3 linked regions of the Schizosaccharomyces pombe genome follow. Changing the gene in region 3 together with the main gene of any one other region gives a genetic interaction. Each region holds a gene or a part of one and is shown on either strand. Other genes may lie near its edges.

Region 1 (5,248 bases), 1.1 Mb from region 3:
TTCGTTCAAATCAGGTGCAATTTTTACAAGTACGGGAGGATGAGGAGAGTTCAATTTATTGCGCTCACTGACAACAGCAGTCAATAAAGTTGAGAGGGCAGATTTCTTTTGTAGGTTACGAAGACCAGGGGTATTAGGAGAGGAAACGTTAATGACAAGAATGTCAGCGAAGTTACCAAAGGTACGAACACCTTCAACATAATCCTCAATCTCGTTACCGTTCTTATTCTTGCCTAAATTGATACCAAGGAACTTGTTAGGAATTAAACTACGAGGTACGCCAAGGACAGCGGGATCAGTGCAAGAAGCGGGATTTGCATCAAACTGTTTTAATAGTTGAGGAGATGTCTTAGCAATGTATTTGCGAACGCGCTTTTGAATCTTAGCAAGGATGGCATCATGGCCGATAGAATTAAAACCGTAACGATTGATTACAGACAAATCAGGCTTAAGGCGGAAATAGCGTGGTTTAGGATTACCAGGTTGAGGTTTAGGTGTGACCGAGCCAATTTCAAGATAGGAAAACCCGAAGTTCAACAAACCTGAGATAGCATCGGCTTGTTTATCGAAACCAGCAGCTAGACCAATGGGATTGCAAAATTTCTTACCCCAAACTTCAACGGCAAGAGATGGATCATCAGCTACACGATCCTTCGGTGTTATACCCCAAGAGGCAGCGAGAATGGCGACACGATGAGAAAACTCAGGAGTGGTGAAAGCATGAAAGAGAGGCATTTCAATGCGGCCATGGATAAAACTACGAACATCGGACATGTCGTAAATGGCAACGCCGGCAGTAAAACTACCAATAACACTCAAAAGCTTCCAATGACGGAGAAAGAAATTGCCATTTGAAGAGCCAGAGCTGGTAGATTGAAAACGTACAGAGGAGCGCTTTAAACCCTGAGCGACACCGCGAAACAAAGATCGTTGATACATTTTAGTATTTTTAATAGAATTCGGCTTAAATAAAAAATTTTCAAAACGAAATTGAAAAAAATATGAATGATAAAATAATAAAATGAAGTTTTATAATAGTTTATGCTTAATATATTTAAACACCAGTTTTTTTCCAAACACAACAAACCCAAGAAAAAATAAACAGAACCAAAAAATAAAAATATGGATTTAAGGATCAGAACAGAATCGTCAATCCGTTTCTTTATCCACCTAGAGACAAGAAGTGTTAATTTATATAAAATGGAGAACTTGGTTCTAATAAGATTTCAACGAAAACAAAGATTTCAGAACCGAAAAAATTTCTCCAAGTGCTAGCAGAGGTATATTCTCTGAGAAAGAACAAAAATCAAAAATTGAATGTTTATATTGAATGTTACCTGTAACAGGTAACATGTTTTTTTAGTAATGCCGGGCTGTCGAAATTTGACTATGAGTTTTGTAAATAAAGCGATGGTTATAAACAATTTTATGATAGTTTTTGCTTTCGAATTAACATTTCATAAAAAATTTGAAAAAGAAAAATTTTAAAAATTTAAGGACAAAATCCACTTGAAAAACAAGTGCGAACAGCTTTTTGCAAAAAAACTACAAACCACTACACATTAGCGAATAAGCCTATTAGGAATTTATTTTAATTTTTGTTGATTTAAATTTCTTTTTTTTTTAAATGGTTAGAATCTAGTTGATAAACTTCTAGCAATGTATTTCCAAATTGTTTCTATTACGTTCGTTGATACAGGCAATTGTTCATTTCTGGTATGACTAAAGCATTTCTATACAATTCAACTTCTCATTTTTTCTAGCTGTATTTATGATGTACAGAGCGTTGGGAGAGAGTTGATTAAGTCAATAGTATTTATGAATGAGACAAGGAACACTCATACTATATCAATGATAAATAGCTTTTATATTATCCTGTTATAATCATAAAAATTAATTTCATCTATATAGACTTAGAAAAAAATGGTTTCGTTTTCACTGTCCTTAAACTACAAATATCGTACACGTGTTACTTGTTCTTCAGGTGTACCCTCACTATTGTCAAATCTTATGAAATTCTTTACTCGTTGACTTGATTGTTATGCGAACAGTATTTTCGCAAATTCCTCGTTTTAAACAAGTCAATCAGTACATACGGATGTCGACAAGGCAGTCAGACATTAGGTTTGTTAGATAGAAGACAGACGTTGACTAACCCATATAGCAACTTCTTCATTTCTTCTGCTTCGCACAAAAGCGAGCACGTGGAGGTTTCTCAATCGTCTTCTGATTCCAAAAATGTTGATGGGAGAAGCACAAGCGAAAAGAGAAAGGTCGAATCAGTGAAATTAGTCGACGAGTCGAAACACAACAACCACGACGACACTGGAACTCAAAATGTTGAGCGTGAAAATAATATTGTGTCTGAGGCAAAAAAGCAAAAGACTTTAGGTTCATCCTCCTCTTCTTCAGATGCCGTATCTAGTAACAACGATTCTGGGGCATCTACTCCAATACCTTTGCCAATCAAAGAACCACCGTTAGAGTCCAATGCTCGCAATGATAAGTTAAAAGGTCATGCAACATTTGCTGAAATGGTAAAAGCATTCACAAAAATAGAGAATACTAGCAAACGGTTGGAAATCATTGATATAATGGGGACTTACTTTTTTGGAATTCTTCGCGACCATCCCAGCGATTTACTGGCCTGTGTGTATTTAAGTATCAATAAGGTATGAACGTTTGGTTTTAAAGGATTTCTCCTTCTCAGTACTAACGTCTTTTTTTACATTAGTTGGGCCCAGATTACTCGGGACTAGAGCTAGGAATTGGCGAAAGCATTATAATGAAGGCTATTGGAGAGTCTACAGGGCAAACGCTTCAACAGATTAAACTATCGTTTCACAAAGTTGGTGATCTTGGTCTTGTAGCTCAAACATCCCGTCAAAATCAACCCACTATGTTTAAACCTGCAGCGCTGACAATTCCATTTTTATTTGACTCATTAAAAAAAATTGCTCAAATGAGCGGAAACCAATCCCAAAATAGAAAAATTGGAGTGATCAAGCGGCTATTGAGTTCCTGTGAAGGTGCAGAACCTAAATATTTGATTCGAGCTTTGGAAGGCAAGCTACGCCTCCAACTTGCCGAAAAAACCATTTTAGTAGCATTAGCAAATGCCACCGCTCAATATCATGCTGATAAGAATGGAGAAAAACTTTCGCAACAAGACAGGATTGAAGGAGAGCAGATTCTTCGAGATGTTTACTGTCAACTGCCTTCATACGACCTTATCGTTCCTCACTTGATTGAGCATGGACTTGGTACTTTGCGTGAAACTTGTAAATTAACACCTGGAATCCCAACAAAACCCATGCTGGCTAAGCCGACGAAACAAATTTCAGAAGTTTTGAATACGTTTGATCAAGCCGCATTTACATGTGAATACAAATACGATGGCGAGCGCGCCCAAGTTCATTTTACCGAAGATGGGAAGTTTTATGTATTTTCTAGGAATTCTGAAAACATGTCTGTTCGCTATCCGGACATCTCTGTTTCTGTATCGAAGTGGAAAAAACCAGATGCTCGTTCTTTTATTCTCGATTGCGAAGCTGTCGGTTGGGACCGTGATGAAAACAAAATTTTACCTTTTCAAAAACTTGCAACAAGAAAGAGGAAAGATGTGAAAATTGGGGACATTAAGGTCCGAGCATGCCTTTTCGCTTTTGACATTTTATACCTAAATGGGCAACCTCTTTTGGAAACCCCACTCAACGAGCGTCGAAAACTACTTTACTCAATGTTTCAACCAAGTACTGGAGACTTTACTTTTGCTAAACATAGCGATCAAAAGTCTATTGAATCCATTGAAGAATTCCTTGAAGAATCTGTCAAAGATTCTTGTGAGGGTTTAATGGTCAAAATGCTTGAAGGCCCGGATTCTCATTATGAACCGTCAAAACGTTCCAGGCATTGGCTAAAAGTTAAAAAAGACTATCTTTCTGGTGTTGGAGATTCTCTGGATTTGATTGTAATTGGCGCATACTACGGAAAGGGTAAACGTACTTCTGTTTATGGTGCCTTTCTTTTGGGCTGCTACGATCCAGATACCGAAACAGTTCAATCGATTTGCAAACTCGGGACTGGTTTTTCAGAGGAGCATTTAGAAACTTTTTACAATCAACTTAAAGACATTGTTATATCTAAAAAGAAAGATTTTTATGCTCATAGCGATGTACCTGCGCATCAGCCTGACGTCTGGTTTGAGCCTAAGTACTTGTGGGAAGTCTTAGCTGCCGATTTATCTTTGTCTCCGGTTTACAAAGCTGCAATTGGATATGTTCAAGAGGACAAAGGAATCAGTTTACGTTTTCCAAGATTCATTCGTATTCGGGAAGACAAGAGCTGGGAGGATGCTACAACAAGTGAACAGGTTTCAGAATTCTATCGTTCGCAGGTGGCTTACAGTCAAAAGGAAAAAGAAGGGTCCCCAGCTGCCGAAGATTATTAAGTTTGTAGCTGAGAGTTACTGCTGAGAGCTACTGTCATAATAAAGGGTAATGTTCGGCTAAAATTTGCCCAAAGAGGCTAATATGAATTATGTTAAAGAGACAGACAAATTGAGTTTATGCTCTAGCTGATGGCTATTTCTCTAGCTTACTACTATTTATTTTTTTCTAATTGTAATCCCCTGTGGCTAAAAAAAAATTAATAATAAACAACATTGAATTTCCAAATTATAACATTAGATTGAAAATTTGAATCTTATTTATCCCTTTTTATTATCCTTTTTATATGATTTTATACATTGTATTACCATTTTACGTTCGTACCAAGCCTTACTCTATTTTGCCGTCATATTCCTCCTTACAGTGGATTACGAATGCTTGGTGTTCATTACCGTCCATATACATTTTATGTCACTGTAGCAAACACCAAGAAGAAATTACAATATTGGCTTTAAAGCCATTAATTGCTATGAATAATTCAGAAGAATGGCCATTGAAACATGTGCAACCGCCCAAATTGTCATTTCGTCATTTGCTATCGAGATCTGTGACAGATGCTCCTTCATTGCGGGTACGTTGGTTCTATGCGGTAGATAGACCGCTTAGGAAATCAAGAACGGGACCGACGGAAATTAAAAAAGCAAAAAATTTTTTACCTTTTTCAGCTGAAGACTCGGAGCACATCGAAAAAAGTTATTTAAAGGCTGTAGAAAATGACGGTCAATCTGAACCGGTCAATGTGAATGAGGATTATTTGTATTCGGTGAACGTTGTTTCAAGAGAACTCTCACCAATATACT
Region 2 (4,762 bases), 3.3 Mb from region 3:
TTGGAGTAGTAAACTGGAGAGGTAGGATCGATTTCTATGGCTTTAGTGTATAAATCCAAAGCTTTTTGATAATCCTTTGCCGCAATGGCATTATTTCCTTCAAGTTTTAATTTCTCAGCCTCTTCTTTATTAACATGAGCAGTGGAATCCTCCTCCACTGGATGCAGTTTTTCGTACTCCTCAAAAGCAGCAACTAAACGATCCCCTGACTTGGGCTTAATTTCTTCTGGTTTGATTTTAAAAGAATCTTGAATACATTGAGCTGATTTTGGTTAGATTATCTTAAATGGGGTTACACATACCAGCAACCTCCAAGCTTTCCTTTTCTTCTTCAGAAATCGAACCGGTGGTAATAGCTTGCTTCAAATAGTCAATAATAGCCGCAGTAACTTTGTTAGAGCTCATTTTCCTAATCGTTTTAAGAACCGATTTTTTTCGTATTACTGAAAGTATATCGTGAGATGCGCGAAGGGCAAAATTATTCCAAGCGCCGTTATAGATTTTTATATACGTAAACATGCAAATAATAAAATGAATTTTTGATTCCTAATTATATTGCTATTAAAATAACATTAGATAACTATAGTACCTTTAATGTGAATCATGAACTGTAAAATACTGATATGACAAAAAAAAACAAAAATAGATAGAAACAACAGACAGGAAGCAAAGAAAAAACTAAAAACATATATTATTCCAGGTCCCAGCTTTCTGTCTCAGAATTATATTGAAGGAGATGGAAGGGTATTTGCAACTGTTCAAGGTACGTACCAATGGAACATGGCTTGGTGCGTAAATCATTAGCTGATGTGCGTAAAACAGACTGTGGAACTTCTTGAAGCATGGTTGTAAACTTCAAAGAAAAAACAGGAAATAGCACTTCGACTGCTAATTGCGCAGATTTTCGCCAATTTTGGATTTTTCTTTCAACCACCTGTATCTGTTTAGAATTTTTGTCAGTGTCAAGAGCGAGCTCTACAACGGATAATTGTTCTTTCAAGCCACCAATTTCTAATTCAAGGTTACGGATTCTGTTAATTAGTTTGCTATCCGTTTCACTTGGAGCAGTAGCCATTGAGATAGGCTTGGCACAATACAGCCGTTCAGGTGAGGAAACAGTTAAGCGGGTTCGCGAAATCTTCGAAATCGGAGGATGAAATGGTTTAATGAGAGCCTTTCGTACAGACATTTTATTAACATTCTTAAATGGCCGCGTAATTAAATCTTTGTTGACCCCTGGGTGCATAGTAGATTTAAGAGATGGAAGGCTTCGATTTATCAAAGAGGTAGAAAGACAGACATTAGAATAGTTTGGAGTATTGTTCTCATTGGACAAAATAGTATTTTTATAGGTGTTCGGTTTAATAATATTAGAATGGTTTGAATGATTATTCCCAATTGATAAAACACTGTTTTTGTATGAATTCGGCTTAGTGACATTAGTACGATTTTTGCTATTATTTTCATTCAACACAGCTTCGCCTCTGTTGGAAACCATTTCAGTTTGTACTTTCCCATACAATCCAGTCCAAACATTCTCCTTCCGAGATGCTAGAAGATCGACCCTCTTATGCTTATGGGAGGTAGCAGACTTAGGGGGAGTGTAATCATAGTTAAATTTAATACTTGAATTAGGAATATGCGTGGCTTGTTGTTCAGACTCATTGATGCAAGTTTCATCAAAGTCTTGATCTACACCGTAGGGATTCAACAAATCTTCTTGATGTTGAGATTCAGCTAGTGGTTGCTCAAGTCGACGTGATTGTTTCCGTTCTTCTATTGCCATTTTGTTAATGGTAATTAATGAATTTTCGGAAAAAGTTGGCTCCATATCACTAGGTAATGGAGAAATGTCAAAAATAGTCGGCTCACTAGACAATGGATCTTGACCAGTAGAATCAGAAGTTAAATCAGGGAAGTCTTCATCCTCTCTTGATGGCTCAAAATCAAATTCCTCAGAACAACCATTGTTCCAATCGATATGATGAGGTAACGAGGGCTCTGTATATATACTAGGTTTTATGGTAACCGGAATGACTACAGCATCGAAAACTTTTCTCGGTTTCTTAATCCTTGGAGACAGAGTAGGATATATTTCCTCCTTTTCAGGATACTTCCTCCAGCCTGTAGGTCTTCCCCTTCTTCTTGGCAATCCTTCCTCGAAGTTCAAATCTTTATTAACATACGAATACTTTCTTGGCCTTCCTGCCCTATGCTTCACTCTCGTCATTTCTCTTTTCTTCAGCATAATCAGTGCGGCTTCAGAGTCTGCAAATGCAGGGAATAGATTAGTATCGTCTGTAAAAGCCAAAGATTTAAATATAGGATCGAGATCACACAGCTGGTTCCAACCAAAATCACTTTCCGAATAATTTTGGGTTGATAATTGAGATTTACAACTTTGTGAGCTTAACGGTTCAATAACCTGATTATTCTCGTTAGGAAGAGTAACCAGTGGTTGATTTTCAGATTTATCTTCAAAGTATGCAAAGTCTTTATCATTCGAGGACACATGGCCGCTAATCTCTGGGTGGTCATCACAATGGGCATTGTATTTCACAAAAGAGGGAGATTCAGTTTTTGGATCAGGAGTCGTTGTACAAAAGAAAGAATCTGTGATAAATTCATTATTCATTTCATTTAAAGAAAAATCTCTAGAAAAGGTTCCCTTCATCTGGCTTGCTTCTGTTTGATTCATCGGTTTACCATCAGAATAATAGTATTCTACCGGCTCAAAGAAATGGGATCCAAGGTTTGAGCCGACGCCCTTTCCTTGCTCAAACCTTTCATTGTCGTTAGAGGAAATACTTTCAGATCCGGTGTTTACTGGTATCGACTCCTGCTTTTTGTTCACATTCATAAGGCCTATAAGGTTTCTCACGATTCTCAAAAAGCAAAATTCTGTTCAAAGCAATATACATTTAATAAATTTGCCGGAGTATGATTATTAAGGACATATCTTTGGTGTGGAAATTGTGAAGAAATTTGGACTGAGTATGGTGGGCACTAATTCTTGAAGGAGGTATTCTAACAACCTCTGTGCACATACCACACATGGTGAAGTTATCTTCCATTATAAAAGCCAGAAAAGCTAATGCTTTGGCTAAAAAGAATGACAAAATAAAAAAGAAAGACACTGATAAAGGCATACGACAAAAGCATTCTAAAAAGGAGGGAAAAGATGAAACATTGAAAAGAGACGTAGAAAAGTTTATTCAAAACGTGAATAGCGAAGACACCCCTTCTGAAGATGACTCCATGTCAATGGATGCTTTTTTGGAAGGCGGATTTGAAGAATTAGACTCTGCGAATTCGAATGATGCAGGTTCCTCAAGAAAAAGAAAAAATTTGCCAAATGAAAATACACAAGACTCTACCTCTGAATCATCGGAAGAAGAAGAGGATGGCTTGGAATCTTATCAAAAGCAATTGGAAGGCCTAAAGGAAAAGGATCCAGAATTTTACAAGTTCCTTGAGCAGAATGACCAAGACTTGCTTGAATTCAACGCCGCTGAAACAGACGCAATGGCGAAGGAAATTGATGAGAATGAACGTTTGAAATCTTCTAGCGGAAAAATCGTTCTGACAAGTGATACAATTCAACAATGGCAAAAGCTTTTGGAGACGAACCATTCATTGACCACACTACAAAAGGTCGTGCAAGCGTTTAAGGCAGCAGCATTCTTAAATGAGGAGGAGGCTGAAGATTTGAAATACACTATTAGCGATTCAAAAGTTTTCAATGACCTCTTGTTGTTAGCCATCCAGTACGTCCCCAAAGTGTTGAATTATCATGTTCCCATTCAAGAGGATGCGAAAGGAAAAAAATTTATAAACACTGATTCAAAGGTGCTTCCGAAGCTACGCCCTGTGTTAAAATCCTATGGATTTTCGATTTTACGTTTGCTAGAAGGGATGACCGATGCCAAGAATATCTCTTTACTACTTCGGGAAGCTCAGAATGTATTGCCTTATATGATTACCTATCGAAAATTCCTTAAACAGTTTACACAGGCAACTGTTGAAGTATGGAGTTCGACTCGTGATGACAGCGTTCGGTTTTCAGCTGTTGTATTGCTTCGTACATTATGCTTGACAGCTGACATAACTCTGCTGGAATTCGTTTTAAAAGAGGTTTATCTTGGTATGGCTCGACAATCAGCTTACACTACCGTTCATACACTCGATAAAATTAATTTCCTGAAAAATAGTGCTGTTAATCTTTTTTTATTGGACGCTGAATCATGTTATTTAATCGGATTCCGTTACATTCGACAACTTGCTATTACTCTTCGTAACACCATTCATCAACCTAGTAAGGATTCTCGAAAGCCTGTTCAAAGCTGGAGTTATGTGCATTCTCTAGACTTTTGGGCTCGTTTATTGAGTCAAGCAGCCTGGTTGAGTAGAGAAAAGGGAGTTGCTTCAGAATTACAATCTTTGGTCTATCCTTTAGTCCAAATAGCCCTTGGAGTTATAATGAGTTCACCGTCATCGCAATTATTTCCAATGAGATTTCACATCATCCGAAGTCTAATTTACTTATCGCGCCATACTGGTGTGTTTATCCCTCTTGCACCTTCGCTATTCGAGGTCTTGGATTCTTCTTATGTGTCAAGAAAAGCCAAAGCTAGTACGCTTAAGCCATTGGATTTTGACGTTGAGTTGCGTGCATCTTCGTCATACTTAAGAACAAAGGTCTACCAGGACGGTTTAATTGATCAATTATTGGAACTCTTGAGCGAATATTATGTTTTATATG
Region 3 (3,584 bases):
TGCAAAAAATGCGTGAGAGGATAGAGTATGAGGAAAGTAATTATACTCGCCTTCCTAAATTATCGAAGAAAGATTTAAAGAAATCTAAACGTGTAAAGAAACACGATTATGGTGGTGAAGACTGGTCATTGCTTGATCGCAAATTCCATGACGATGACTTTTCAAATCGTAAATTAGACCTGACTTCTAGAGCTAAGAGACGTGCTAATTTTGAAGACGTTAACGATGGCTCATTAGCTTCACCTGTTCAAATTGGCCAGTCATATCGTAAAAGAAAGAAGAATTTGAAACGTCGTTAATCATTATTTTGGGAACAGCCGTTGAGGTTTACTTAAAAAAATTGACCATATGTATTTAAAAAAATGGAGTTTTTGCGCTTGGTTTGGTATTTTTGTGTGGTTTAGGGCAGGTTATGTTTAATAAGATCAATATAAATTTTGCATGTACATGTCTGTATATGTGATTAGTCGCACATTAATATAGTTTACAAGTTCTAAACATAAGGAAGAAATCATTCATTCGTAGATGTAAACAAAAAAATCTTAATGATTTACTATAGTTACAATTTTGGCAACTTTGAAGCACTTAAATAGATTTAATGTGAAAGGCGGTTGAAAAAGAAGAGTAAGTTCTAATGAAATAGGGATTATTAAGACAGCTATGTCTTGAAATCAACTTTCCCAGGAGTCTTCTACAGTTTTTCGTACTCGACGCACATACTCCTTCTTGTTTTCACGATGCAGCTGAGCAGCTTCGGCATTTGCAGGGGACGCATTATTTGGATCATTAAGTAAGCTAAAAGTTAGTTATGAGAAATTTAAGTAATATTTCTGAAAAGCAAACCTTTGAATAGAGGTAAGAATTGCTGCCACATCGTAAGTTGGAGACCACCTGTTTTGCAGAATGTCCAAGCAAAGTTCGCCATTTGCGTACACATTTGGATGGAACTAAAGCCAATAAGTAAGTAAACAAAAAAAACCAAGAAAAAAGTAAATTACAACAAATCAAATAATCTAATTTAAGACTTGTCTAAATACAATGACTAAGCATACCATTGTGGAGACGAATTTTACAAGAGGAGGTTTATTAGGATATTGTTCATCAAAAGAAAGAACCAACTTAAAAGTTCCATCTTCAAATGGAGTGTCTGCTGGGCCAATGATAACAGCATTCCTGCTCAAATGGTTAGTCCAACATCAATAATAAAAAACAAAAGCAATCAATCCAGAAACCAACAAGCATAAAAAGATCGCTTCTTGTAAGAATTTTGAAACGATCTCCTTCCTAAATATATGGCAAAAAAGGCATTCAATATATAGCACATATATTCACCATTACGTTGCATAACAATAAGAGAAAAATGAATTGACATAGGTAAACACTTACCAAAGCATTACATTGTCAGAGACAGGGGAAGCTGAAACTCCAGCAGGAGGATCTTGCTGCATCCTCTAAGAATTGGTTAATATAAGTCTTCTCGGATCCACAACTGCCGTACCTTAAAATCTCGCATGAGACGTCTTCTTGCGGTCGTTGACATTTTTATAGCAACCTCTCTTCTATTTGTGATAACTTTAAAAAAAAGTTGCACAAATATCGATATCGCCTTGGAATTACACCGAGTTAGGATATCCGATTTGCGTTGTTGGAGAAGGGCAGGGAACAATAGTAGGACCATTCACTCATATGCAGTATTTCATTATTAATGGGGCGCACCCAACACGTTAAAATAATAAAGTGCACGCTCAGTTACCTTATAACTAGACCAACCTTTTAGTAATGTTCAGCATTTGCAATGCAAGTCTGCTTTAGTATTAATGAACTACTACTTCATTTAAATTATAGTTAAAGATAAGGAAAGTTGATATTTTTCATTCAACCATTAATCATAATCAAGGTCCGTGCATTTGTTAACGGTAAACTGTTGAACATGTGAAAATTATATATATTTACTTTAAGCCTTTGTTCTCATTGGGTTTAAAAAAGCAACTAAAATACATTAGGAAGAAAAAATGAAAGAGCAACAGGATGTAAGAAATAAATTTACATTTTCACTAGCTTAACAATGAGAAAACACAAACAGCCAATTTTTTACGCGTCTGCTACGTGATTGAAATGGTAGTTAGAAATGTATCTGAACTCTTCACCATTAGATATTTACATTGTGCATAAATTTAATTATCCAGAAAAAAATCAGCTTAATACTCTTATTAATTCACTGACTTAAAAATTACTAAGTTTTGTTTGGAGTATTTAAAAATTGCTGCACAAGTTAATCGACAAAGTAAATATAAAAATTCAACTTACCGGTAAATATGTTGACACAAGAGCCGCGATACCCATACTGATCAAATGTTAACATCCATAGAACTACATTAATGCAATGAATTAGGATTACTTACAAAGCCATTGAAGTCGGAGATGAGCTGGGAGACGTATTTGCGTTCAGTAAATTTGAAAAGGTTAGGATAAAAGCAACCCATGCAATTAATCTTCTCGTTAACATGAAAATCCTAAAATATCTTACATACTTGAAACGAAGAAATAAAGCAGCCATACACGTGGCTGTGCTTACCAAACTCAAGCCAACTATAATAGGGTTAGCAAACTTAATAAATTATTTGACGAAAGAAAGGATTTAAAATATTCCACAATGAACTAAAGCTTGAGCGATTAAATCAGCGTAACTCACGATTGGGTTCAATTTGAAAGTGCTTTCTACTTTACCTTCTTCATTTGCTTTGACTCTAGCTTTGTAGGGAACGATTAAATCAGGTCGTTTAAGTTCTGCAGGCGCCATATTTTATGAATTTTCGTTGTCGAGACTTCAGAACTGGTGAATGGGATGGTTCCTCTACAAGAATATAATGAAGTTAGTAATAAAATGTGTAAAATGGTTTTAGGTTAGGTTATTTAGCATTCAAATATATCGTGGGGGTTAAGAGTTCTTATCCCACTAAGAATTTCAACTATTTTAGACTTGGCTAAGCATTAGAATTAAAATCGATTGCAGTACCACGTGGGGGCTTTAGCAAGTCATAGGAGGAAACTGATCCTACTTGGCGAGTGAGAAATGGATTTCTTTTAGCATTCTAAGTCTTCTATATAACAATTTAAAGCTCAAACATAATATAATATTATTTATACTATTTTAAAAATTTAGGAACCAAGCCAGGTGAACTTAAGAAGTTCAAAGAGCATTTAATCGTTAGATGAAATAATAAAAAAAAAAATTACACTCGTTCACTCGTTTTCAATTTTACGAATAGGTTTGGCAGGTGATCCTACAGCCAACGTATTAGGTGGGATGTCTTTTGTAACAACAGCACCCGCTCCAATTACACTGCCTTCCCCGATAGTAACACCTGGGAGAACTATAACTCCCATACCAATCCAAACATTGTCCTGAATCTTGATAAAATTTTGTTTGTTAGTTGTAAGATGTTTCAATAACTGGACTAACGCATACGTTAATTGGTAAACCAAATTCAATTCCGGAGTTCCTTGCTTTAAAATCCAAGGGATGTGTTGCTGTACATAGTTGAACCTGGAAAGACACCATTAGTATATTTATTTTTTGAATG

What was found.
Region 1: of rhp6 (region 3) and cdc17, a mutation in one rescues a mutant of the other (synthetic rescue), as found in Schizosaccharomyces pombe (one study listed by BioGRID).
Region 2: of rhp6 (region 3) and swi2, changing one suppresses a phenotype caused by changing the other (phenotypic suppression), as found in Schizosaccharomyces pombe (one study listed by BioGRID).

What each region holds. Positions count from the first base shown.
Region 1 is NC_003424.3:1,385,903-1,391,150, forward strand, and holds cdc17 (ATP-dependent DNA replication ligase Cdc17), read left to right. Parts: upstream 1-1,982; 5' UTR 1,983-2,041; coding exon 2,042-2,124; exon of another isoform or gene 2,125-2,164; coding exon 2,165-2,672; exon of another isoform or gene 2,673-2,734; coding exon 2,735-4,450; 3' UTR 4,451-4,715; downstream 4,716-5,248. Other genes in the region: mitochondrial dihydroorotate dehydrogenase Ura3, read right to left, coding at 1-939; SPOM_SPAC20G8.02 (DDHD family phospholipase), read left to right, coding at 4,735-5,248. UniProt on the Schizosaccharomyces pombe protein: DNA ligase that seals nicks in double-stranded DNA during DNA replication, DNA recombination and DNA repair.
Region 2 is NC_003424.3:3,628,482-3,633,243, forward strand, and holds swi2 (DNA recombination mediator Swi2), read right to left. Parts: upstream 2,978-4,762; 5' UTR 2,861-2,977; coding exon 692-2,860; 3' UTR 534-691; downstream 1-533. Other genes in the region: SGT2 family TPR repeat-containing protein, read right to left, coding at 1-262, 303-405; noc201 (Noc complex Noc2 family subunit), read left to right, coding at 3,055-4,762. UniProt on the Schizosaccharomyces pombe protein: Required for normal mating-type switching.
Region 3 is NC_003424.3:303,679-307,262, reverse strand, and holds rhp6 (ubiquitin-conjugating enzyme E2 2), read right to left. Parts: upstream 1,658-3,584; 5' UTR 1,541-1,657; coding exon 1,499-1,540; exon of another isoform or gene 1,452-1,498; coding exon 1,387-1,451; exon of another isoform or gene 1,207-1,386; intron 1,174-1,206; coding exon 1,053-1,173; intron 948-1,052; coding exon 844-947; intron 796-843; coding exon 672-795; 3' UTR 501-671; downstream 1-500. Other genes in the region: U3 snoRNP-associated protein Lcp5, read left to right, coding at 1-299; protein pat10, read right to left, coding at 2,234-2,263, 2,308-2,344, 2,403-2,492, 2,532-2,589, 2,728-2,800; SPOM_SPAC18B11.09C (serine O-acetyltransferase activity), read right to left, coding at 3,244-3,411, 3,470-3,547.